7 linked regions of the Macaca mulatta genome follow. The protein of the gene in region 4 interacts with the protein of the main gene of each other region in a pairwise test. Links are inferred from orthologs where the notes say so. Each region holds a gene or a part of one and is shown on either strand. Other genes may lie near its edges.

The links.
Region 1: the proteins of GFAP (region 4) and RIBC2 interact in a two-hybrid assay, tested with the Homo sapiens proteins (2 studies listed by BioGRID and IntAct). The two-hybrid records come from large-scale screens. The link is inferred for Macaca mulatta from reciprocal best matches to the Homo sapiens genes GFAP and RIBC2.
Region 2: the proteins of GFAP (region 4) and ZC2HC1C interact in binary tests that used the Homo sapiens proteins (3 or more experiments, as listed by UniProt). The link is inferred for Macaca mulatta from reciprocal best matches to the Homo sapiens genes GFAP and ZC2HC1C.
Region 3: the proteins of GFAP (region 4) and CWF19L2 interact in binary tests that used the Homo sapiens proteins (3 or more experiments, as listed by UniProt). The link is inferred for Macaca mulatta from reciprocal best matches to the Homo sapiens genes GFAP and CWF19L2.
Region 5: the proteins of GFAP (region 4) and ABI2 interact in binary tests that used the Homo sapiens proteins (3 or more experiments, as listed by UniProt). The link is inferred for Macaca mulatta from reciprocal best matches to the Homo sapiens genes GFAP and ABI2.
Region 6: the proteins of GFAP (region 4) and ZNF774 interact in a two-hybrid assay, tested with the Homo sapiens proteins (2 studies listed by BioGRID and IntAct). The link is inferred for Macaca mulatta from reciprocal best matches to the Homo sapiens genes GFAP and ZNF774.
Region 7: the proteins of GFAP (region 4) and UBASH3A interact in binary tests that used the Homo sapiens proteins (3 or more experiments, as listed by UniProt). The link is inferred for Macaca mulatta from reciprocal best matches to the Homo sapiens genes GFAP and UBASH3A.

The regions. Positions count from the first base shown.
Region 1 is NC_133415.1:6,058,497-6,061,996, reverse strand, and holds part of RIBC2 (RIB43A-like with coiled-coils protein 2), read left to right. Parts: intron 1-3,167; coding exon 3,168-3,286; intron 3,287-3,500. UniProt on the Homo sapiens protein: Microtubule inner protein (MIP) part of the dynein-decorated doublet microtubules (DMTs) in cilia axoneme, which is required for motile cilia beating.
Region 2 is NC_133412.1:148,262,535-148,266,604, reverse strand, and holds the start of ZC2HC1C (zinc finger C2HC domain-containing protein 1C), read right to left. Parts: upstream 2,801-4,070; 5' UTR 2,422-2,800; exon of another isoform or gene 2,003-2,421; intron 1,621-2,002; 5' UTR 1,602-1,620; coding exon 273-1,601; intron 1-272. Other genes in the region: ACYP1 (acylphosphatase-1), read left to right, coding at 2,801-2,963.
Region 3 is NC_133419.1:108,185,253-108,188,100, forward strand, and holds the end of CWF19L2 (CWF19-like protein 2), read right to left. Parts: intron 1,191-2,848; coding exon 1,047-1,190; 3' UTR 501-1,046; downstream 1-500.
Region 4 is NC_133421.1:69,280,095-69,283,594, forward strand, and holds part of GFAP (glial fibrillary acidic protein), read right to left. Parts: intron 1,964-3,500; exon of another isoform or gene 1,931-1,963; coding exon 1,845-1,930; intron 1,169-1,844; coding exon 1,127-1,168; 3' UTR 1-1,126.
Region 5 is NC_133417.1:108,607,966-108,611,465, reverse strand, and holds part of ABI2 (abl interactor 2), read right to left. Parts: intron 2,994-3,500; coding exon 2,817-2,993; intron 1-2,816. UniProt on the Homo sapiens protein: Regulator of actin cytoskeleton dynamics underlying cell motility and adhesion. Functions as a component of the WAVE complex, which activates actin nucleating machinery Arp2/3 to drive lamellipodia formation.
Region 6 is NC_133412.1:80,237,159-80,241,381, forward strand, and holds the start of ZNF774 (zinc finger protein 774), read left to right. Parts: upstream 1-1,423; 5' UTR 1,424-1,603; intron 1,604-3,871; 5' UTR 3,872-3,890; coding exon 3,891-3,994; intron 3,995-4,223.
Region 7 is NC_133408.1:5,072,780-5,076,279, forward strand, and holds part of UBASH3A (ubiquitin-associated and SH3 domain-containing protein A), read right to left. Parts: intron 1,166-3,500; coding exon 967-1,165; intron 1-966. UniProt on the Homo sapiens protein: Interferes with CBL-mediated down-regulation and degradation of receptor-type tyrosine kinases. Promotes accumulation of activated target receptors, such as T-cell receptors, EGFR and PDGFRB, on the cell surface.

The sequences.
Region 1 (3,500 bases), on a different chromosome or scaffold from region 4:
GTCTCTCCCCTTATCCTACAGTAGCTCCCCATTGCACTCAGAGTAAACGATTTTTTTCAGGGACCTATAATGCCTTCACAGTCTGGCCTTATCTCCTGCTATGATGCCCTCTCACTCCATTCTTTCCACACTGTCTTGCTGTTTTCAGACATGAGTGCATCAGGCTCACTTCCGTCTTGGAGCTTTTGCATGTGCTGTTCCCTCTGCTTAGAAATGTCTTTCCCTGGCCGGGCGCGGTGGCTCAAGCCTGTAATCCCAGCACTTTGGGAGGCCGAGGCAGGCGGATCACAAGGTCAGGAGATCGAGACCATCCTGGCTAACATTGTGAAACCCCGTCTCTACTAAAAAAATACAAAAAACTAGCCAGGCGTGGTGGTGGGCGCCTGTGGTCCCAGCTACTTGGGAGGCTGAGGCAGGAGAATGGGGTGAACCCGGGGGGCGGAGCTTGCAGTGAGCCGAGATCGTGCCACTGCACTCCAGCCTGGGGCACAGAGCAAGACTCCGTCTCAAAAAAAAAAAAAAAGAAAAGAAATGTCTTTCCCCAGATATCTGTAGGGATCACCACTGTCCTCCTCCAGGGCTGTGCTAAAATGCTGTCTTATCGGTGAGGCCTCCCCGACCCCCTATTTTAAACCCTGTACCCTCTTCCCACCCCACATTCCCTATCCCCTTGCTTTATTTTTCTCCATAGCCTTGATCACTGACATGTTGTATGGTTCATCCATCTCCCAAGTGGTCTACATTTCCACCTCTGGCCAAAAGGCTTTGTTTCAGCTGTGTGCTTGGTTCTTCAGTGGTCTCCTTGACATCTCACGGGACCCCTCACAACATATTGGAAAGCAGCCCTAGATCCTCTTCTGCATCTGCTCCTTTGTCCATCTTTCTCCTCCCACTCACTGGTACCTCTTGCCCTTAAACCAGAAGTCTAGGGGATCATCCATGACCCGCCTCCGTCTCCAGGCCATCTCTAACTCTTGTCCCTTCTACCTCCTGCATATATTTTGAACTGTCCGCTTGTCTTCATCCCTGCTGTCACCCTTGTGATGCAAGCCACCACCTCAGCTGGACAGACCTCTGCCGAGATCTTTCTGATGGCCTCCACTGCCTTTCTTGCCCCTCTCTGATCCATTCCCAACACAGCAGTCAGGGATACTTTTAAACAATGTGGGGTTCAGCCAGGTACGATGGCTCATGCCTGTAATCCCAGCACTTTGGGAGGCCAAGGTGGGTGGATCATCTGAGGTCAGGAGTTTGAGACAAGCCTGGCCAACATGGTGAAACCCTGTCTCTACTAAAAATACAAAAATTAGCTAGGTGTGGTGGCATGTGCCTATAATCCCAGCTGCTTGGCAGGCTGAGGCAGGAGAATCACTTGAACCCGGGAGGTGGAGGTTGCAGTGAGCCGAGACTCTGCCACTGCACTCCAGTCAGGGCAACAAGAGCAAAACTCGTCTCAAAAAAAGAAAAACAAAAATGCGGGGTTGGACAGCATCACCCTACCCCGTCGATCCCAGCTTCAAGCCCACTAATGGCTTCCCAAGCACTTGGAAAGAGATGCAGAATCCTCCTGCAGCCCACGGGCTCTGCATGCTGGGCCCCGCCCACCTCTCCACTGTCGACTCCGCCCCCTCTGCTTGCTGTGTTCCTGCCATCTTCCTTTTTCACTTCTGGATTCCACTGTATCCCTTCCCAGCCCAGAACCTCTGCACCTGCTCCCAACCCACTTCTTCGACCGGCATTTGCTCCCAGAGGAGCAATCCCCTACCCTCCTCCCTAACCTCAGCCGCCTCAGCCAGGCACCCCCAGCATGTTTCCTCTTGGTCTCTCCGTCCTTGCCTCCCTGTCACTGCTACAGTTGGCATTAATACATTTATTCTGGATTCCTGTGTTGGTTGATGTCTCCTCTCCTAGGCAGCAAGTTCCAGGAAGGCAGGAAAAGCCCTTTCTGTCTTACTCCCCATTATGTATCCTGTGCCCAGCAAAGTGGGACCCCCATGCTCGGCTCTCCATGGCTCTATGTTAAATGGATGAATGAACAAATGGACGGTGAGAGGTGAGGCTGACTGACTGTTCAGAGGCCAGAATCGAAGATGAGAGTTTGGTCTTTGTTTCTGGAGGCAGTGAGGAGACCCACAGGGCACAAATACTTGAATGAAGAAACCTGATCGATGACTTTTTTTTAACCTAATAGTTCTGCAAGCCAGGCGCAGTAGCTCACGCCTGGAATCCCAACACTTTGGGAGGCCAAGGCAGGCGGATCACCTGAGGTCAGGAGTTCAAGAGCAGCCTGACCAACATGGTGAAACCCTGTCTCTACCAAAAATACAAGATGAACTGGGCGTGGTGGTGCACACCTGTAATCCCAGCTACCCCGGAGGCTGAGGCAGGAGAATCGCTGGAACCCAGGAGGCAAAGGTTGCAGTGAGCTGAGATGCGCCACTGCACTCCAGCCTGGGCGACGCAGCGAGACTCCGTCTCAAATAATAATAATAATAATAATTCTGCGAAGGAAGTGTGTCCTGCTTCACAGGTATGGACACAGGCTCAGCGAGGCTAAGTAATAGTTGAGGTTAACAGCTAGGAAATATCTGAGCTGGGATGTGAGCCTGCTCTCTTTGACTCCAAATCTTCACATTTTTCTGTTTGGACCTTCTACCTTGACCCCTTCACCTCCTCCTCTTCCTCTTTCTCTTCCTCACTGGCCTAACCAAGTCCTCCTGTCACCCCACAATATCTGGCATCTGGCCCCACTTCCTCCGTAGAGTCCTGTGGGGTTTCTTGTTCTTTCACTTCTGGATTCCACTGAATTCTTTCCCAAAACCTCTGCATCTGCTCCCAACCCACTTTGTTTGTCCTGCAGGTCTCAAACGTCATTTCCTGGGGCTGTAGAGTACCTCTTGCCCACTGTAAGGATGTAGCTGCCTCCGGATAGAGCAGGACAGCAAGGGGCACACCACCAGCCTGTCCCAGGACCCCAGCATAGTGGTGATCACTAGCACTCCTCTGGGAGCTTGACTCTCCCACAGCCTCAGAGGCAGGTCCTTTCGTTATTGTTCCTGTCCTCATGGGTAAGGACGTGGTAGGAGGCAAAGGCATGAAAGGCCACATGTCAGAGGGAAGGCGCTCCCGTGGCCAGCTTGGTCTGATTGCTTCTTGCTTCCTTTCAGAGGCCCTCTACACAGAGACAAGGCTGCAGTTTGATGAGGCAGCCAAGCACCTACAGAAGCTGGAAGGCACCACCAGAAAGGCGGTTTGTGCATCTGTGAAAGACTTCAACAAGAGCCAGGTATACGTACTCCGAGACCCCGGGCTCGATGACCGGAGGGGAGGATGAGCCCACTACGGCTTCCCAAGGCTCTCTGGCCTCCCTGGGATCCCAGTCTCTGCCTGCTTCCCTGGTCACATCACCAGCCCTGACAGAGACCCTGATGGGCTGCCTGATTATGCCTGATTATGGAGAAGGATGAGACCCAGTCCTGTCCCTTAGCTCTGAATCTTGG
Region 2 (4,070 bases), on a different chromosome or scaffold from region 4:
CTCTGCCACTTAAAGCTGTTTGTGACCTCAAGCAAGTTACTTAGCCTGTCCAAGTCTTGATTTTTGAACTGATAAAATGAGAGATAAATGCGAGGATCACATGCAAAGCTCCCATCACAATGCTGGCATACAGTAGTAATCAAGAAATGTTAATTCTAGACGTCAATTCTTCCTACATGACACATGAATTTTCCCTAAAGAAAACTGATGATGACAAAACAGACCCCTACAATGATCCCCACACCAAGTCACATCCATAAGGCTCTTGTTACCTTGGCTGAAGCTGGCCCCTTCCAGTTCAAGTATTGCTCTAGTTCTGTGCCCTTAGCCCGGGCCCTGGAGGAGTCAAACACTTTCCTCTTGGAACCCTGTATCCTGCTGCAGATGTTGGAGTGTCTCTCCAGCCTGAACAAGAGGAATTTTCGCCCACAGTGGCTGCACTCACCCAGCTGTGGCTCTTCAGTGGAGCCGCTGGAACCTGAGGAGTCTGGTGCCATGGACAGGCTGGAATTTCTGGCAGATCCCTGCAAAGCACCGCCTGGTGTTTCTGAAGGCGGGGAGAACTTCTCCATCGACGGCTCTGAGACTCGGTCTCGAATTTTGTTATTGCTTGCTACCAGCCTTTCCCTTTTGAGTCTCTGAATTCTATAATCAGAGAGCTGGAATGGACTCGAATTTTGTTGAGACCGTTCCCAAGTTTCATCCTCTCTCCTGTCTCTACTAAATTCTTCCTCAAAATCAAATTCTGGGGAGAAGACAGCTTTGTGCGTGGTGTTGCTGTTATTACCTTTAACTCTGCTCCTGGGGAATATAATTTTCTGTAGCTCTCTGTTTTCATTTTCCTTGGCCTGCTCCTTTTGCGTCTGGATCCTTCTGAGTTCCTCCTCTGTCTTCTTCAGCTTTCCCCTCAGGAGAATCTGCTTTCTTCGGATTTCCTCCTCTAAGCTCTCCCCTGCAGCTTCTAGTCTTCGGATCTGCACCCACTCCATCCTGTCCAAGTTTGCCAAGGCCTTCTCCGCCTGCATGGCAGCAAGAACAGGATCAACCACAGAAAAGTTGACCTGGTTCCTCACATCAAAGTTCCTGGATGAAAACTCTCTCAGTTCAGGGGGCCTTGGGTAGACATTCTGGTCCCCATCAGTGCCAGACTCACCTGTACTGCACGACTTCCTGTGGACCACGGGTTTCAGTGGGTACGCCCGGTCCACTCCAACTCGTTTCTTTGTAAAGGGGATAAAGTCCTGGTTATTGGCTTTGGGATACCAGGATTGAGGGCCTGATGAGTAAATTTGTTTTACTTGGCCCTGGAAATCACTTCCTGCATCTTGGTGGCTGATTCCAGTACAGTGGGGATAGGAGTAGCTCCGGGCTTTTGTGTTCCATTTGGGGTGAGTGTGGACTTTATCCAGAGTCAACTCTTTGTTGCTCAAAAGCTGCTTCTGGAAATTGTTCCTCAGGTGCCCCTTCAAGGACTGCTGGGAAGAGTCACTTTGTTCGTAAGAGTCTTGCTTGGCTGAGTGGGGCCCTGGAGCTTCTGTTGTATTATGTGGAAGCATAACGCCCACAGGCAGATGTGATGCCAACCGCTGGAGACCAGCCATTCAGGGCCTGGACTGATGCCTACGGGAGATTTAAACCAGATACATGCGAAGAGTTTGTCTGAGGTTCACTCTCGTCTGCTAAAGCAAACTATTTCTACATTTGCCCTGCCCACATTTCCTTAAACTTTTCTGGGGACAGTGGTGCTGGATCTGCCAAAGCTTCCCTTCAAAAACCATTTGGTGAGTGATTACTATGCACAAGACACTGTGTTAGGCCCTGAGGGTAGAGAAACGGAGGTGCTACAGGTGTTCCTGCCACCTAGCTCTCCTCTCCTCCAGCACCAGCCTCTGCCACGCACAGTATACTCTACAGTAAGTGGAAAGAGCATCGGATTGAAAGTCAGGTTTTAGGCCTGTAACAGGACAAGCGACTTCTCCCTTGCTGGCCCCCGTTTCTTCACCTGTAAACTGAAGGGTTCCGTCCGAGTCCATCCTCACCATTTTACAGGTGAGCAAGCTGTGGCCCAGAGGTAGTGACTGGCACAAAGAGCTCTCAGGGCTTCCCTCCTGCTGGAACCGTGCTTGATTCAAAAGAGCACAGAGGCTGCTAGGGCCTGGAGCAGGTGCCTGGCTGTCAAACCCTCATCTCAGGAGTCCCCGTGGCGCAGACGGTAAAAGTTTTGTAACCTGAGCGTTGAGGGCCACCTGACCTGGCTGCAGCCGGTTTTAGATCCTTAAGGCTGAAGTCACGTTCTGTCCCGAAGGGTCAACTGGGGCGCCCCCACTACGGACTCCGCCTCTGGGGACAAGTCCTCTCTCTCTCCTGCCCTTCGGGCCCTTAGGAGGTGCTGACCCTCTGTCTCCCCGCCCTTCTGCGTACCTGAGGCCCTCGGGCACCGCTCCTGCTCAGGGAAAACCCCAGGGCCTAGTTTCCCAGACCCGACCTCCCCCTCAACCGACGGCCGCGCAGGCGCTCTCAGCTAGCTTCTGTTATTCCCGGTGCCTGGAGACCGAGTTACTGGCGGGCCAAGCTCCGCCCCTCGCTGCGAACTCCTTGGGGAGGCGTGCGCAGGCGCAGTGCACCAGCGACCCGGGGCGACCGGGGGTGGGGGGTGCGGTCAGCCCGACCGTCACTTGACCCAGTCAGTGTCCGGCCAACTCTGCAGCCGGGTCCAGCCCTGCCCTTGGGGAGCCGAGGAAGGGCGGGAGAGGCTTTTCTGGGGCTCCATCAAAGAAGAACTTGTACTTTCCTGAGAACGATGCTCCCAGACCTTGGGGTGTGCCCTTCACTGGCAAAGGGCGGAGGCCCTGGCTGTGCCTCCGCGTGCTTCCGCCGCAGGGTGCAGGCGACCGCCTGCCTGGTGGGAGCGGGGCTGCTGCTGACCTTTCTCGGCGCGCTTGGCTGCGCTGGGCGGGCCCCAGGTATGGCTGCACGTGCGCGCTCCCTGCTTGTCGTCGCCAAGTCTTTGGAACTTGCTGCCAACGTTTTTGCTACGCAGTATCTTTCCGGGGTAATTTTTGTGGCCAATCTAATTATTTTGATATTATAATGTTTTACTCTCACGTGGTAACTCTAGCCGTCTGTACTTAGGGCGTAGGAATGACTCAGCCAAGTGTAATGATAATAAAGAACTACCAGATCGAAAATAATCAGTATAACCTGGTTTCAACAGTAAATGATACTCTGTAACTTGTTGACATCAAAAGAAAGTTTATTTTTTTTTCTTCGTTTCAGTTCATCTGTGTAGGACGTTGGGAACAGGCAGTTCGCTTTTTCCCTGTAACTACTCAATTCATGCACTTGGAAAATAATGTAGACAAGCAGTCATCAGTGTTAATACTTCAACATGTCATATTACAGCTGTTACCTGTTACAAAGAAATTCCTTGGTGGACCCTCCAGGTCAGTCCTTCTTTTTTTTTCTTTTCTTTTTCTTTTTTTTTTTTTTTTTTTAATTCCTCGTTTTCATCCCTTGTTGCCTGCACCACCTCTACATATATGCAGCTCCAGATGTTTGCCACTCTACTCAGGGTCCCAATTATCAACTCCCGCAGCTTCCCTCAGCAGAATGTACGGGCTTTCTCTTTCTCTCTCTCTCTCCTCTTCCTTCTCTCCCTTTCTTCTCTGTCTCTGTCTGTCTCTGTCTCTGTCTGTCTCTCTCCCTCTCTCCTTCCCTCTCCTCTATGAGAAAGAAGGGCCACTTTCCATGAGTTCTCTTGAATTAGTGCTTTTCAGTACCCTCCGGGAATTGACTCCATCACTTTACCCCAGCGTTTTGTTTTTGTTTTCTGTTTTGTTGGTTTTGAGGGTTTTTTAAAATTTGTTTGTTTTTTGAGACAGAATCTCACCCTGTTGCCCAGGCTGGAGTGCAGTGGCGCAATCTCAGCTCACTGCCACCTCCGCCTCCTGGGTTCAAGTGATTCTCCTGCCTCAGCCTCCCGAGTAGCTGAGATTACAGGCGTCTGCCACCACACCTGGCTAATTTTTTGTATTTTTAGTAGAGATGGAGTTTCACCATGTTAGCCAGGC
Region 3 (2,848 bases), on a different chromosome or scaffold from region 4:
TTTCCATTAAAAAAAAAAGTAGGAGCACTCAAAACATAAAAATCCTATACTTACAAAAAATGACTATGGTGTGAGTTGAGAACAAGTAAAAATTACGTTCCTTGGATCAAGTAAGGGACAACAGAATGCCCCATACTCTCATCCAGGCATTCACACCTGCAATCCCAGCACTTTGGGAAGCTGAAACAGGAGGATAGCTTGAGACTAGGAGTTCAAGGCTACAGTGAGCTATGATTGGGCCACTGCACTCCAGCATGGGTGACAAAGCCAGACTCTGTCTCAATAAATAAAAACAAAACAAAAAGATAAAAACTCTCATTACTTAAGATTTTAAGACAATCAGTACAACTCAAAACCAATGATTTAGCTACAAATTTTAACTTTCATGCAAACCCCAAACAACCCTAAAATGTGTTATTTGGAAGTTACTTTTAGAACCATCAAAATTCAAAGATACTATTTAAAAATCCAGAAATAAAAACAAATTTGAATCATACATATTTTCAGTATCATTTAATTCTTTAATACTTTGGGGACATTTCCTTTTCCTTTAACAAAAAGAATAGAAGTGATACTATATACTGCTAGCAGAAAATTAAGAGCTTTTCTATAAAATCCTATGAAATTAAAATTAAATCAAGTCTTATTTTTAAAAATGCAAAAGAAGCCAGATAATAGACTTAACGACCATGAAGCAGACCCACTTCCCTCTGAACCAAGGATTTCCTATGCTTTCTAGATATCCCTTCAGAAAAGGCCTTCTCTAAATTAACTGAACAATTTGGAATATCAAGAAGTAGGTAGAGAGCAGGAATGTGAGCAGATCATCGAATAGATGTTTTTACTCCATGATGACTAAAATGAAGTCCATAGAAGCAGGTGAGGAAAAAAATAACACAATCTCCTGATGTGCAGCTGTCACAGACCCAGAGCAGTCTGCTGCTGTGACTCTCTGCCTGCGACCTGAGGGTCAGGTGCTTCATTAGATGCAGTGGAAATAAAACTGAACGGGATCTGAAGAGAAATTTTAAAATGGAAGGTACACCTCAACAGCTTTTACTTTTGGTGAAGTCATATGGCTTCCACCACTGAGCAAACTGCAGTGCTTTTTTCCTCTGATCCTCAAAGCTTTCTCGGATGCCTTTCCTCCAAAGTCTTGGTTCTATATCCAGCATCCCACCTATGATTTCCTTTTAAAGAAAGAGAAAAGCACAAACACAAGCATGTATAAATAATGAAAACATAAACTACTTCTGTTTATTCTGCTATAAAATATAACAAGTAGTTCTCCATGACAATGTTCAAGCATAAATACTAGTTGAAGTTAAAAAAATGTTTTCAATTAATTCTAACTATGCAAACCGTGTGATTCTAAGAGTCCAAGATAGCCGCACCTCCTATCAAGCAATTTGTCCATTTTGCTGCTTATTAGCACATCTACTAAATGGTAAAAAAGGGGAGGCAGAAAAAGTGAAATTTAATTAATTTGATCTCTATTAGAGGCTCCGGTAAACAATTCTGCAAAAATGTTAATCAACTTGTAGCAATTATTAACTTTATTGCTCAACTGCAGGTGAAACCCAGGCTAATGTTCTCTCTCTGCTACCAAGTATATTTATAAATTAGTTTCTTCCACTATTAGCAGGAAATCTTTTTTTCAGGAAACAAAATCCTATTGTAATACTAGTCTAAGTAAACCTATCGATAGAATTAAAAATTATATATTACTTTCATTTAAAAAATCACATTCTCAAGTCCTGTAATAAATGGCTTTTTGGTTATCTGCGTATTATTTTTGATTTCCTTCATGATCCTCTTCCTGTGCTGTTAGCTATAGAAATAAATCAAATTTAGTCATGTGAGTATCCATGTAAGAAAGACATGGGGGAGACTCCTAATGCTTACATGCTTAGAGGGAGGGCAGTATGGTAACAAAGAAAAAAAAAACACAAAAAACAAAACAACAACAACAAAAAACAGACTAAGGATCAAATTCTGCGTAGTCAGTCTAGCTCCACTGGACTGTGTGGTGAAATCCTGCACAAAGCACATAATCTTTCAGATGCAGGTTCTTCATCTTACTTGGGGACCTACTATGCAGAAGCAAATGGCATTTATGTTGTAGGGGCTACAGAGATAATACACAGTTGTCTTCAGACAGAATAGAATCTGGAGCTGTGGTGGGAGCCGTAATAATCCAGCTATGCAACAGACTGTCTCATAAAGTAGAAGGTAAGTGCCAAAGCAGACCATTTGGAGACTCAAAAACAAAACAAAACAAAAATCTAGTTGTTGGATAGACCAAGAGATGCTTCATGGAAAAGGGAATCTCCTATCATCAGGGAAGGGAAATAAAGGGGTCAACAGAGATAGTAGAAAAGAGAAATGGGGCAAATTTAGATTTAGTTCGAGAGCTTCTCAGCATTGGTCCAAATAAACAATGTAGTTTAAGAAAGCCTAGCTTATAAAAGTTTACCTAAAATTGTCTATAAAATACCAAGGTTTGTCTTATCTGTACCATATAAGCTTGACTCTTGTTCTGTTATCAAAGCAGCTGTTAATGGAAAGACTGCCCCCCTAATCTCTTCTAGCTCTCTGAACAACTGCTTCAGCAGCAGACTGCAGGGAGGTCTCGAGCCCACAGGCTATTTCTTAAAAAGCAAATTTTGAGGAAAATGGCTCAGTGACACAATGCTGACAGAGAAAATTTACTTTTAACTCCAAAACTGTATCATATAAACCAGAATGCATGAATAATATGTGAAGAGAGGGCAATCTCCCAGTTTAATATATACAACTTTTAAAAACTGGATATTTTAACTTTCTTTTTTCTTGGACCAAGTTTTTT
Region 4 (3,500 bases):
CCCCATGGATACATCCCCTTTCTCTCCTTTTTCAGCATCTTCAAGAGGATAAGTCACTTCCTTAATTCCCACAACCCAGAGGCCAAGTGCAACTGGTCACCCACAACCCCTACTTGGATGCCTAGCGCCATCCCAATTGCCTCCTCCACCATCTCTACCAGCATCCCTTCCAGTCTGCACGGGGCAGTCCTCCTGGGCTTGACCTCTCTGTACCCACCACTGGGGACCAGGCAGCCCCCCTGTATCCCTCCCAGCACCCCATCCCTCTCCACGTACACGACAGATCCCCCAAGTGCTGAGAATCAAGCTCCCACCTGCCCACAGCACGCCCACAGACAGGGTCCCTGGATGGCAGCTCAGGTGGACTGAGACACTTGAGTCATCACTCAGGAGGTCCCTCTGGGATCTGGGCAGGTGACTGCCCCATGTGGCAGGACATCCCCACCCATCTTAGACTGATCAGGGTCAGTCTAGAAGAGCAACCCTCTGAGCTGGGCATGGTGGCTCGAGCCTGTAATCCCAGCTACACAGGAGGCTGAGGTGGGAAGACTGCTTGAGCCCAGGAGTTCAAGGTCAGCCTGGGCAGCATAGGAGACCTCGCCTCATAAAAACCAAAAAACAAAACAAGCCTCTGGCCAAAGATACCTTGTCTGTGGGGCCTTCCCTTTCCTGTCTGAGTCTCAGTTTTCCTCCAGCAGCCTGAGGAAACTCAAAGGCACAGTTCCCAGATACCCTGAGAGAACCTCCAGCTCTGGCAACAGTTTCCATAACAACAGGTATCAGGGATGTGGAGGGCGATGTAGTAGGTCCCCCCCCACCCTCCTCCCCTTCTCTCCTTCCTCCTCATTCTAACCCAAGCTGCTGGCTATGCCCCTCCAGACTGCCCCTTGGGGGTGAGTTTCTTGTTAGTTGGAGTTTCTGGGTGCTGGGTGGGTGCCGTCTGGCAGGCCTAATACTGACGGAGCCTAGGGCAGCAAGCTGGCCTAGGGATAGAGGAGGGAGGGGAGCAGCTGGGGTGGCGGGGAGCTCAGGTGTGGGGAAATGCACCAGCAGAGGCGGAGCAACTATCCTGCTTCTGCTCGGGCTCCTCATGAGATGGGGCAGAGGCCACCAGGTGGGTCCTGCCTCACATCACATCCTTGTGCTCCTGCTTGGACTCCTTAATGACCTGCAGGGGACAGGGAACATGCACAGTGCAACAGTTAGGAGTTCACGCAGACCCCAGGTCCACCACCATGAAGCTGTGTAACCTTGGGCAAGTCCCCCGCTTCCCAGGTCTTTCTTTTCTTGACAGTAACCACAGCTGCCTTGCGTGGTGGTCAGAGTGGGTGGTGAGATAACACTGGGAAAGCATTTAGCATCGTGCCTGGCACGTAGTAAGCTGCTGCAGTAAGATGAGCTCCCACTGTGGTTGAAGTGGCCTGGGGGATACGCCAAATCCCCTCTTCCCATTCCCCTGGTAGTTTCCTTTTACTAAGCTGGAAATGGAAAGCCGTCCCCATCTCCAACTGTCTCCGCTAGAGTTGGAAGTGAAAGCTGCTAACCTTAATTCTCTTTTTATCCCTGGCAAGCCAGGCCCCCGGGTTTGAGGGTGAGAAAGAGACAGCGTGTGTTGGGACCCAATCTAGTGGCTTTGGTACCAAGGCTGCCCTTAGAACAGCCTATGGAGGGACTGAGGAAACGGAATTACATTCAGGTTCCTTGCTCTCCTCCAGAATTCCTTAGGGGGCTCCTGGGAGTTACTGGGGACCTTCTATGTGCCAGTCCCAGGCTTTCCTCCACGGCCTGGCCTTGAAAATCCCTGGGGCCAGCCAGAGCCTGACTGGGCCTGAATCCCTCCGTACCTCTCCATCCCGCATCTCCACGGTCTTCACCACGATGTTCCTCTTGAGGTGGCCTTCTGACACAGACTTGGTGTCCAGGCTGGTTTCTGCAGATGTGAGGAGAAGAGGCCTCTCATGGACTTTCAGGGCGTGAGTCATCCTCTCCCATGCCCAGCTTCCCCATCGCACCCCCCCATCATGAGTATGAGAACCTATGCAACTGGGCAGAGAGAGCCTAGGCTCTTCCAAACGGGCTGGAGAGCCCCCAAATCCCAATAGTGCTGCTGCCCAAGTCCTGGCTGCTCTGTCCAGTTTGAGTCCTGGCTGCTCTGTCTTCTGGCCTGGCTTCATTTTAGCCCCTCTGCAAGCCCTGGCCTGGCACCTGGGTTTCTGAAAATCCAGCACGGCATCGAGGAAGGACATACAGGCTTTGAAATCAGGAGACCAGGCGGGGCGTGGTGGCTCACGCCTGTAATGCCAGCACTTTGGGAGGCCAAGACGGATGGATCACCTGAGGCCAGGAGTCTGAGACTACCCTGGCCAACATGGTGAAACCTCTACTAAAAATACAAAAAATAGGCCAGGCATGGTAGCTCACACCTGTAATCCCAGCACTTTGGGAAACCTAGGCAGGTGGATCGCCTGAGGTCAGGAGTTCGAGACCAGCCTGACCAATATGGTGAAACCCTGTCTCTACTAAAAATACAAAAATTAGCCGGGTATAGTGACGGGTGCCTGTAGTTCCAGCTACTCAGGAGGCTGACACAGGAGAATCACTTGAACCTGGGAGGCGGAGGTTGCAGTGAGCTGAGATCACACCACTGCACTCCAGTCTGAGCAACAGAGTAAGACTCTGTTTCAAAAAAAAAAAAGAAGAAGAAAAGAAAAAAGAAAGAAAGAAAGAAAAATTAGCCAGGTGTGGTGGCTCACACCTGTAATCCCCACTACTCAGGAGATTGAGGCCCAAGAATTGCTTGAACCTGGGAGGTGGAGGTTGCAGTGAGTCAAGATTGCACCACTGTACTCCAGCCTGGGTGACAGAGGGATGCTCTGTGGAAGGAAGGAAGGGGAGGGGAGGGAAGGAATCAGGAGACCAGAGCTCAAGAAGTCCCAACTTGGCCGGGCACGGTGGCTCAAGCCTGTAATCCCAGCACTTTGGGAGGCCGAGACAGGTGGATCACGAGGTCAGGAGATCGAGACCATCCTGGCTAACACGGTGAAACCCCGTCTCTACTAAAAAATACAAAAAAAACCTAGCCAGGCGAGGTGGCGGGCGCCTATAGTCCCAGCTACTCGGGAGGCTGAGGCAGGAGAATGGCGTAAACCCGGGAAGCAGAGCTTGCAGTGAACTGAGATTCAGCCACTGCACTCCAGCCTGGGCGACAGAGTGAGACTCCGTCTCAAAAAAAAAAAAAAAAAGAAGTCCCAACTTAGCCACCAACCAGCCACATGACTCTGGGCAAGTTAATTGACCTCTCCCAGCCTCAGGTTCCTCATCTGTAAAATAAGGATGATGGGGCCTATTTCTGTAGGTGGGAGAGAGGAGACAATTAACTAAAATAAAGGCTGTTAAACATATGGCAGATATTAGCGCTCAATACACATAGGTCCCTTTCCTGTCCCCTTTCCTCTTTCCTACTTCTCTCTGCCACTTATCTGTACCTTAGTGACCTGCGA
Region 5 (3,500 bases), on a different chromosome or scaffold from region 4:
CATAGTTAGTACTAGTTAATGATTCAAAGCTCAGTCATCTTGTCATCACTTTCTACACTGAAGATATGGCAAATAATGGGTGTTAGATGGGAGGAATATATATTTGAAAATAAACTATGAAACTCACCTACAAAAAAAAATCAAAGAAGAAATGCATGCTAAGTTTGGTATATAATTGTAGTAACCTTCTATTTTAGGCAGGCTTCTTGAATATAGTTGAATTTCTTTTACCACGAATCCTCCAAAATACCAAAACATTATTGAAACGAATCATAACAGGAAATATCTCTAATTCTTAATTGATATTCTGTTAAATATTGTCATAGGCTTTTGATGTTTTGTATATAATTATATTCACCTTTAAAAACTTTTAAAGTTTATATTGAAATATATTCTTTATTCAGCTATTTGGCAAAAAGAATAATTTTTCCACAAAAATATGATACTGCAACTTAAAAAAAAACCCTGTGCCACTGAATATTTTCTGCTTCTCAATTTCTTTATACTGATTAAAAGATAATGACATATTGTCCATAAGGTATATCAGAAAGCGCACCATTTATAGAATAAAAAGGCTATTACACAGGGGGAGGGTAAAATAAAGCACATTAATTGGCCCTCCAATTCACAACAAAGTCTCTATATTTATAAAAATCCAGCTAATTATATTTCATAACATTTTTATGATAGGGTACCTCACGTTTCAGTTTCACAAAATATATTAACATTACAAAATAACCATTCATTCAACAAATATTTACTAAGCACCTAATGTGTGTGTCAGGTACTGTTCTAGGCACAAAGGATAGAGCAGTGAACAAAACAGACAAAAATATCTGCCCGCAAGGAACATGAAGACACACCACAAAGTTGCATGACAAAAAGTAAAACAAAAAGGAGGAATTCTTTATTGGGTTTTAAAAGGCCAAGTGTTAACTATCTCTTTAACTCCCCATATGTAATATTCTACATAAGAACAAAGAATGGAAATCCAGCCCTGGAATCTCTTACCTTAAATCTAAGCAACCACTTAATGCATAAATGGAGCAAATAAAAGAGGTAAGGAAAAAAAGCATTGAAAGGTTAGTTGAAACTTCAGGATGTGAAGAGAAAGGAAAAAAAGAAAAAACAAGTTAAGCATTCAGCATTAACAAAATAATGTTTCAGTAGATCATAGAAAGAGTGGTTAAAGCAGAATGTGTCATGAACAGAAGTTTCTTTGATGAATTTAAGACATTGTTTTATTCAAAAATTTAATTTTATTAAAGATTTCTTCAAATTAATGACCCTTAAACACGGAAAGTCAAAAAATGAAGGGGCTAGAATCCTAAAAGAAAAACATTTTACTTTGAGAATTATAAGAATGGGGGATGTAAACATATGAATTATATATATAAAAAAAATCAGATTACTTTTTTCTTACATAATTGGGCAAACAGAAATATCACACTTTATATTCTAAGTATCTTTTTGGCATTAGATTCTGGCAGTATTCTAAAATATTCCATTAGCAGTTGTTAGCCTTGAATAAATTTTCCCAAGTTAGAATAAATTTCAGTTATTAACTAACCATCCAATTACACATCTTATTTTAACATGCTCTTATTAGTAATCTAAATGCATGTAGGTATTGGCTATAAAATTAAATATTGGGCAGGCACAATGTAATCCTGTACACCTGTAATCCCAACATTTTGGGAGACCAAGATGGGAAGATCACTTGAGGACGGGAGTTCATGACCATCCTGGACAACACAGACAGGCCCTGTCACTACAAACAAAAAATTTAGCTCAGCACAGTGGCATGTGCCTGTAGTCCCAGGGAAGCTGACACGGGAAGATCATCTGAGCCCAGGAGTTCAAGGTTGGAGTAAGCTATGATTGTGCCACTGCACTCCAACCTAGGTGACAGAGTGAGACCTTGTCTCAGAAAAGTTAAATTAAATACCATATTCCAGATAATAGTGCTTGATCAAAACTCTGAAGAGAGATTTTAAAAATAAATTTACAGTGTATATTTTCTTTTTACCTAGATCTACATTAAATTTAGATTTAACTGATTTCCATCCATAACAGTGTGTGTTTTTTAAGTATGCTTATATTAGAAAAAAAATCAACTACATGAACTGTACAGTATCATTATAAGCATGTACGTATGTATATTTATTTACTCATATCTGATAAGTCACTGTCTTTCAAACTACTGATCAGATGTAAGTTGATACTCAGCTAAAGCTCTGAATCATTAGGTTCAAATATCAATTTAAATGAAATTTCCATGTTTTAGGCACCCAAATACATCTTAAAAGACAGTCAAAATATGTAATAGCTATACACTCAAAAGCAGTGGCAATATTAATTCACCTAACACTATTTTTGCCCAAGATGTTGGGATAAAATTATTTTAGAAAAATTCAAACTACATGTTTATTAATATATGTTGTTTTTGAAAACTAATGCCAAAAGTCTGCTGATAAGGTAAACACTTTCATAATAACATGATGAATGATTTTTTAATCAGCCATATTAAATTAAAATGGGAAAGATTACACTACACTTATTTACTCAAACCATAGGAGGTATTATCATCACTAAGCAAATACAATTCATTCAAAGATGATTGTTTAAAACTTGAGAATACAGCACTAAGAAAAAGCAAAAAGGGTAAAACAGTTATAGTAGCAAGGAATCTTCACGACAACTGGGCCAAGACTTTGTCCTCTAGGAAGGAAAGATAGATAAAAAGCTTAATTTTCTCAAGAGTTAGTTTCATTATGGGTTACTACTTTTAAAAGCTTGAAAAAAATTATACCTACCTTCACTCCATGTCCAATATCATCTAGAATTGTATAGTCAATAGGTTTTCTAATATAACGAACTGGTCGTTCAAGGTTGGCTGGAGCAATAATCTTATGCGTCCTTGAAGTGTTTTTATTGGTAGTCAAAATACCAATTTCTCTTCTTGCAACTTTCTCTTTATGAATATCAACTGTCTGCAAAATATAAAGTAAAAAACACAAAAATGTACAGTTCTAATATCCACAAAAATCAAAATATATATGCCTAGAGATTTAATATTGCTACTCATATTCTAAACTATGCTTGCTAAATTTTATTCTTCTGGACTACTGACTTCCTCCATTTTCAGGTTAAAGCAAGGGCTGGTAAACCATGGCCAAATCTGGTCCATCACCTGATTTTTACAGCCCACAAGCTAAGAGTAGTGTTAACATTTTTTAATGTTTGGATAAAAGAACAACAACAACAAAAACCCTTCACGTGAAAATTATATAAAATTCAAATTTCCTTTTCCATAAGTAAAGTTTTATTGGAATACAACCATGCTGCTTACTTGCTTATTTGTCTAGACTTTACACTGTAATGGCAGAGATGAGCCACAACAGAGACGGCATGGCCCACAAAAACTGAAGTATATATTAGCTGGCTCCCTTACAGAAAAGGTTTGCCAACCCCTGGGTTAAAGCACGCTAACTTTGTCC
Region 6 (4,223 bases), on a different chromosome or scaffold from region 4:
CAATGTAGTTATCTTGCAGATGACTACAATTGTAGCAAAATAACTAAGATGCAACTGGCTATATGAAAAAAAAAAAGACAAAATATTACTTAGGATTTTTTTTTTTTTTTTTTGAGACGGAGTCTCACTGTGTCGCCCAGGCTGGAGTGCAGTGGCCGGATCTCAGCTCACTGCAAGCTCTGCCTCCCGGGTTTTTACGCCATTCTCCTGCCTCAGCCTCCCGAGTAGCCGGGACTACAGGCGCCCGCCACCTCGCCCGGCTAGTTTTTTGTATTTTTTTGTAGAGACGGGGTTTCACCGTGTTAGCCAGGATGATCTCGAACTCCTGACCTCGTGATCCGCCCGTCTCGGCCTCCCAAAGTGCTGGGATTACAGGCTTGAGCCACCGCGCCCGGCCTACTTAGGATTTTGATACCTTTTATGGTTTATCTCCCCTTTTGGCCTGTAAACTTCATGAAGGTAATGGTTATGTATGATTCCCGAGTAACCACAGTTCCCAGAACGATCTTGAGTATAGAATGTTCCCAATAAATATCCACTGGAAAATGCACCCTATTTTTGTTGAAGGAATGGTGGAATTAGCATCAAAGGGATCTTCAACATTAACTCTATGGCTAGCAATTCTAAGCGTTTTATAGTACATCACAAAATGGTCTTTCTTTTTCTAAATTACACTGAATCAACAAACGGAGTAGACAGGCACATTTTCTTCACTTTAAGGAAAGACATTATTTTTTAGCTAGGGGCCGACCCAAAGTGACCACTGGCTTTCACATGAGACCCAGGAGCCTCCCCAGTTTGAAGCCCAATATCACATTTCCCAGAATACTTGATGCCCTCGCCCGCCTCCTCTGGCTATCAACCAGACGGAAAGGGGATGCGCCTGGGAGTTTGATGCCAAGGGAAGGATACGGAATGTCTGTTTTCTCCTAAGGGCGTCTGCTGGGCCTTCCTTATGTCCAGTTTGAGTTGGTCTGGGACCCGGCCTCCGCAAACACTCTGCAGGCTCCGGCCGCCGGGTGTGAGGTGGAAGACTGGGCAGAAGAGAGGCTGCAAAGGCCAGAGGGCTGAGCTGCTCTGCGCTGGGGAGGGGCGAGGTGCCAGAGCGCGGGAGACCTCACGTTGGGCACCAGGCTGCTCCGCGGTAGGTGGGTGAGGCCAGGAGATTCACATCAGCAGATGCCACACTGAGGGTACGGCATTTAGATCCCTAGGCTCCAAACAGGCGGTTCCTGGGGGCCGGTAGCTGGGGAATTGGGTTTAGCACTTTTCAACGCTTGGAACTGGATATCCAAGGCTCCGAGTCCTTTGAGGTCTTGCTCGGGACTACGTTTCCCAGAAGGCTAGGCGGTAATTGATAGCTCTGTCAGCCTATGGACAGAGAAACATTCTAGCCATGGAAACTAAAAAGCCAATAGCAAGAGGACAGGGGCGGTACTTTCCGGCTGCGAGCTGTCGAAGCCTGAGTCCCACCTGTGTCCCCACAGCCCTGTCACGAATCCCGGTCGGGTTCTGGGAGGGACCGCCTCGGGGTTGCGGGCCGGGTGCGGCTCGGCGGTGGAGGACTCACTTCCTGCTCCATCCCCAGCTGGGCCCTGGGGCGGTGAGTGATCCAAGGAGGGAGACTGCGGCGGCAGCGGCGCGCTGCTGAGAGGCGTGGAGGGGGCTCGCCCGCCACCCAGACGTTTTCTCAGAGGGGTTCCCACGCTGGCCTTTGGGAGCCCCCGGGTCTTGCTGGGGTGTGGGAGAGGTAGCTGTGGTCTCTATACCGTCGTCGAGATAAGTCATTCTCTTAATGAGTTTTCTTGCTTCTCGATGGTGGTCCCCGGGTTTCAGCTGATCTGCCACCCTCTGACCGCCGCACCCTGGTTAGGGCCCCAGCACCGAGAAGAAGAACGGGGTTCAGCCCCACGCGTGCAGTCATGTTCCTATTAATAAACCCGGTGAACGCACTGGAGATTCTCACAATGGCACTTAGTCACAGCCCCTCAGAGCTGTAGGGCCTTTGAGGTCATCTGCGCATGGGGAAAGGGACGGGCTGGGAAACAGGGTTTCTATAACCGTGGCTAAGAAGTCTCCAGCAAGGGGGCCCTGCAGCTGTGTTTTGTAATGAATGTAGAAATAAAAATTATACTAAAAGCTCTTTTTTTTTTTTCCTTTTTCTTCTTCTACTTTTTTTTTTTTTTTTTTTTAGAGGGGATTTCGCTCTTGTTGCCCAGGCTGGAATGCAACGGTGCTATCTCCCTTCACTGTAGTCTCTGCCTCCCGGGTTCAAGCGATTCTCCTGCCGCAGCCTCCCGAGTAGTTGGGATTACAGGTGTGCGCCACCACACCCGGCTAATTTTGTATTCTTAGTAGAGACAGGGTTTCACCATGTTGGCCAGGTTGATCTCGAACTCCTGACCCCAGGTGATCTGCCCATCTCGTTCTCCCAAAGTGCTGGGATTACAGTCATGAGCCACAGCGCCCGACCAATACTGAAAACTGTTATTACCATTTTTACTTTCTAATTACATTATTGTTGTTTGTTAAAGTTTTAAACCAGAGCAATGGTTTTTAGATCCTTAAAAACTCAATACTTTATAAATGACCAATAATAATGTCTGTAAATACATAAATATTTTCCCCAAAAGTGTGTGTGTGTGTGTGTGTGTGTGTGTGTCTGTGTCTGTATCTGTGTTCCAGTAGTAAATAGGTGCTTTGTAGTGGGACAAAAGATGTGAAAGAGTAAAACTTCTTCACCCTAGTCTGGTCCTTCCTCCCGTGAAATGCAATATTCTTTGTAGTGGGTGGTCATGCTGGCTGAATTTTTTTTTTTTTTTTTTAAGGGAGAGACAGGGGCTCACTCTGTTGCTAGGCTGGAGTGCATGGAGTGCAGTGGCGCCATCATAGCTCACTGCAGCCTTGAACTCCTGGGCTGAAGTGATCCTCCCACCTCAGCCTCCTGAGTAGCTGGGACCACAAGTGCATGCCACCATGCCTGGCTGATTTTTAAAAGTTCTTTGTAGAGAAAGGGGTCTCAATATGTTGCTGAGGCTGGTGTATTGGAAAGTTTTTAAGGGAAAAAACATTATCTTAATTTCTTTGTGACTCCTATGCCTGGCAACATATTGATTGTTGAATAAATTACTGATCCATCCAGTAGTTGACTCTGACTATCCTCCAAAAAGTAATGTTTTTCATGATATTGCTGTCAATTTATTAATATATTAATGATTGGTTTCAGCCTCTAAGAGTTGTGTTTTGTGCTTATCCCCATTGACTTTCACTTATTTTTACAACCTATCCATGTCTTTTTTTAAAAAAAAAAAAACATGTCTTTTTCAGTCTTATTTCTGACTCCATTAAGATCTTGAAATAGAGTGGTATCCAACACAGTTCTCTTTGGGGTTCTGCATAATCTGTCCCTTGAGGTTGACCCCAAATCTGCAAGCCAAGAAGTCAGCTGTTCTCATAACTAATATGAGTATAGTTAAGTCCACAATTTCCTTGGTTGCTGAGGAAAATGAAGTTGGGGAGAATCAAAAGCTTTCCAGAAATCAAATTGTACCTACCAACTCTCTCCTTTGTTTACCTTGTTCATCGTGGACAATTTTTTCCTCAAAAAGTTAATGTATCTAAAAGACTGGGTTCTGTCCATGTGTTTGGGAGGCCTAGGCCTCTCTTAGTAATGGGAAAGTTGGCCAGGAGAAGATGTATGTAAAAACAGACTAAGAAAAGCAACCCTCTGTGGTTGACAGAATTTACCTCAGGACCATTCTGATCAGGTGTGGGGGGTTGTTTGTGTACACTGATGGCCATTTTTTGGCTTTCAGACAATGGTGAGAATACCTAGGGAGCTACTGATGCATATCGAGGTCTCTTGCTTTAGGAACTGATGACCCTTGATAATGTGGCTGAGGACTTCAGGGAAGAGTGGGTTACCTGGACACTGCTTAGAGAATCCTCTTCAGGAATGCCACCCAGCACAGTTAGAAGAATGGGCTATCAAAGGGTAAGAATGCTACTCTCCTTTATTTTATTTATTTATCTTGTTTTTTTGAGATGGGGTCTCGCTCTGTCATCCAGGCTGGAGTGCAGTGGCGTGATCTCGATTCACTGCAACCCTTGCCTCCTGGGCTCAAGCAATTCTCCCACCTCAACCTCCTGAGTAGCTGGGATCACAGGCATGTGCCACCATGCCCAGCTAGTTTTTGGTGTTTTTAGTAGAGACAGGATTTTGC
Region 7 (3,500 bases), on a different chromosome or scaffold from region 4:
GAGCCCTCCCACCAAGGCACTGCAGCCTCATCAGATTTTAGAGTTGACAAATCACGGCAATACTGAGTGCCTTCTGTATCCTGGGAACTATGGTGGGATGGGCCACAGACTCAGGCAACATTGTTCTTGAAGAGTGAGAGCCCTCATTGTTTTGTAGAGAAAGAAAAAGAGACAGAGACAGTGGACATGACTTGATTAAGGTCACGCCACTCATCAGGGACACAGAAAAAAATCACATCTTCTGACATCAAGTCCACAATCCTTTCCACTAAACCCCAGTGGTAGCTTTGGTCTCCAGACCAGGGCTGGTGTTTGGAGAGAAGGGAATTTTGATGATTCTCAATATGAGTCTACATAATCTTTCCCCGGAGAGGCCAAGGAGAGAGCACTAAGCTCATACTGAAAATACAGAAATAAGTCATGTAGGACTTGTGTGTCTCCCACTCGAGGCCGAGCGGGGGAGGCCCTGACTCCCTATGTGCCCCAGCCTCCAACCCCATCACGGTCACCCACTCAGGCTTGATGCTTGGCACACCCTTCTGGGGCACTTTCCCAGGCTGTTGGCATACAGCTAAGCATTTGAAAAACCACATAATGCGAATAAAGGTTATTCCCGCCTAAAGAGAAGACCAAAGCTGGTCCGGAAGCTTTCTAACGGCTTACATTTTTGAAGGATGTAGTGGCTCACGAAGGGAGGCGCTAGTTTAATTGTTCAGCCTCAGGTTAAGGCCATGTCCAGGCACCTGGCTGAAAATCCAGAAGTGGGAACTGGAAGTGCCTGGGTGAGGACAGGTGCAGCCACTGAGCCTGGAAGAAAGCCCACCCAGCCATCCCACCGTTGCTGCTGGGCTCTGCTCCCCTGGAACCCACCCATGGAAATCCATGTGCCAGGAGCTCATGCCTGCTGCACAGAGCTCACTCGCTGTGAACCCGGCCCTGTGTTTGCCACTGGTCAGGGCTGCCCACCTGCTAAGAGAGATGCTTCCGTGGCGAAGGTCATCGCGAATTCCCGGATGATGTCTGCAGGGCTGCCGTTGACGAAGAAGCCGAGGTAGCTGATGGAGGAATGGAGAGCCAGGGGCACGGCCGTGGGGAAGGAGCCCAGGAGCCTGTCTCCAGCCCTCTTCAGTGCCTCGTACAGGCACTCCACCCTCTGGTCTTCACACTAAGGGGACAGAGACAGAGCCTGTGTTTCCACACCTCTCATCAGAAGTCATCTATTGATTTAATTAATAACAATCAGGCAGCAATTCAAGTGAAGCACTGTAACATAAATAAAGCAATTCAAGTGAAGCACTGTAACATAAATAAAGCACTGTAACATAATTTATTGCGTCCCTGTGTGTCTGAGGTTATGGATTTGTTCTATACCTGGACCTCGGTTTTTCAAATATTTCAGGTAAGTTTCTTTGCGGAATGGAGTCTCCTTTAGGTGCCCAGGTTAGAAATCCCCTGGTCCTTGAACTGCATCCCCTCCCTCCACCGCATGTGCTCGTCACCTGCCAGGCCCTTTCCTCAGTCCCATGGCCCACTGCGTTGCTCAGGTCTGCATGATTTGGCTTCTGGAGGTTTCTAGAAGACTCCAGGGCTGCCCAGGCACTGCTTAGAGCCTGTAGTGAGGGGGACTCAGCTGCACTTCCAGCTGTGGTGCTGCCGTCTTGTCCACGGCTGAGCACTGAGTCAGGTTCCACAGGGGCCTCCTCTAAGGACTGAGGCTCTGCCCTGCCTCCAACCCTCTCCTCCTCTTTTGCCTTCACCAGCAGTCTCTCCCCTGTGTGTCTCCTGCACTTGGAATTCTGCCTTGGGGTCTGCTCCCTGGAGGACCTGAGCCTGCACAGCCCCTGGCCTGGCCTCCGTGATGCCCCCCATGTGGCTGTAGGACCCTCTTTCTGATGCAACTCCCACCCCTGAGGCCGCAGGCTCTCTGTCACCTGGAGAATCCCTCTCAAGGGTTCAGCCTGCCCACAGAGCCCGACAGGTGCTGGCCCGACAGCCTTGCCCATGGGGCTCCAACTACCATCCTCTAGCCAGACACAGCCTCTCCTGGCATCTGGGCTTGGTGTTGCCCACTGCCCTGGCCAGGCTGCTTCCTGGGCTTGAAGACCTTCCCAGTGCCATTGACCACATCAGACCACAGGGGAAACCTGACACCACATCCTCCTGGCGGGAGATGGCCTGATCCCTTCTCTTCCCAGCACCGGGCTGCCCTTGGAATTTTCCATAGTCCTTCTTACAAGCCCAAATATGAGGCCAGATCACAGTGTTTAATGCGGCTTCCATCTCCCTGTGGACAGGCCGGCCTGACGTTTCTCCCTGTCTATTTTGTCTGCAGCCCTCAACAGCACTCAACACAAAACCACCCAGTGAACCCATGTCCATTCCGGAATCCGTCTCACATTGTGTTTCTTCGCCTCAGATATGTAATTTTCAAGAATAGTCAGGTTATAAATGTAGCTGTGATCAATATCATACTTCAGAAGATTAGTGTTTTCATTTTACAGCATCAAAGGTACACAGTGAGTCTCCGTTACACTCTTCTGGCTGCGAGGGGAGCTCCACTAACCATGGCCAGGCCAGACCCAGGGTGAGGGACTGGGAGGAGCTGACAACAGAGGGAGGTGTGTGAGTGTGTGTGTGTCTGCCCATGTCTATATGTGTGTGTGTCTGTGTGTGTCTGCATGTGGGTATGTCTATGTGTGTCTGTGTGTCTGCGTATGTCTATATGTGTGTCTGTGTGTATGCATGTGTGTATCTGTGTGCATATGTGTGTATGTGGTGCTTACATGTCTGTGCATGTGTATGTGTGTGTATCTAATGTGTGTCTCTGTGTGTGTGTCTGTGCCTCTCTGTGTGTGTCTGTGTGTGTCTATGTGCATGTATCTTTGTATTCCTGTGTGTGTATATCTGTGTGCATGTGTACCTATGTACATGTATGTGTGTCTGTGTGTGTCTGTGTGTGTCTGTATCCATGTATATATGTATATATGTGTATGTCTGTGTGTATCTGTGTGTGTCTGTGTATGTCTGTATGCATGTATGTGTGTATATCTGTGTGTGCCGTGTGTATGTCTCTGTGTCTATCTGTGTGTGTCTGTGTGCCTATATCTGTCTGTATGCATGTATGTGTGTGTATCTGTGTGCATGTGTAAGTCTCTGTGTCAATCTGTGTGTGTCTATGTGTGTGAGCTATGTGTGTGTGTGTGTGTGTGTGTGTGCTTGTGCCTCAGTGGACTGGGGAAGGAGCTGGGGGCCAAGGCCTACTCTGATTTCTGAGCTGTGTCACACAACTTGGGCTGCCTTGCCTTTCCCCGTTAGCTCCAGAAGGTGAGTCAGAAGGAGTCTGCTTGTCACAAGTGCCATTGATGTCGATGTAGGGTGAAAACTCTCTCAGTTTGCCTGGGGATTTCCCAGGCTTAGTCTTGTGTTCTGGGAATCCCTGCAAGTCTTGGGCAATCTGGGGTGGTGGTTGGAGGCTTTGGAAGGTGCTGCTTCTCCTGGGA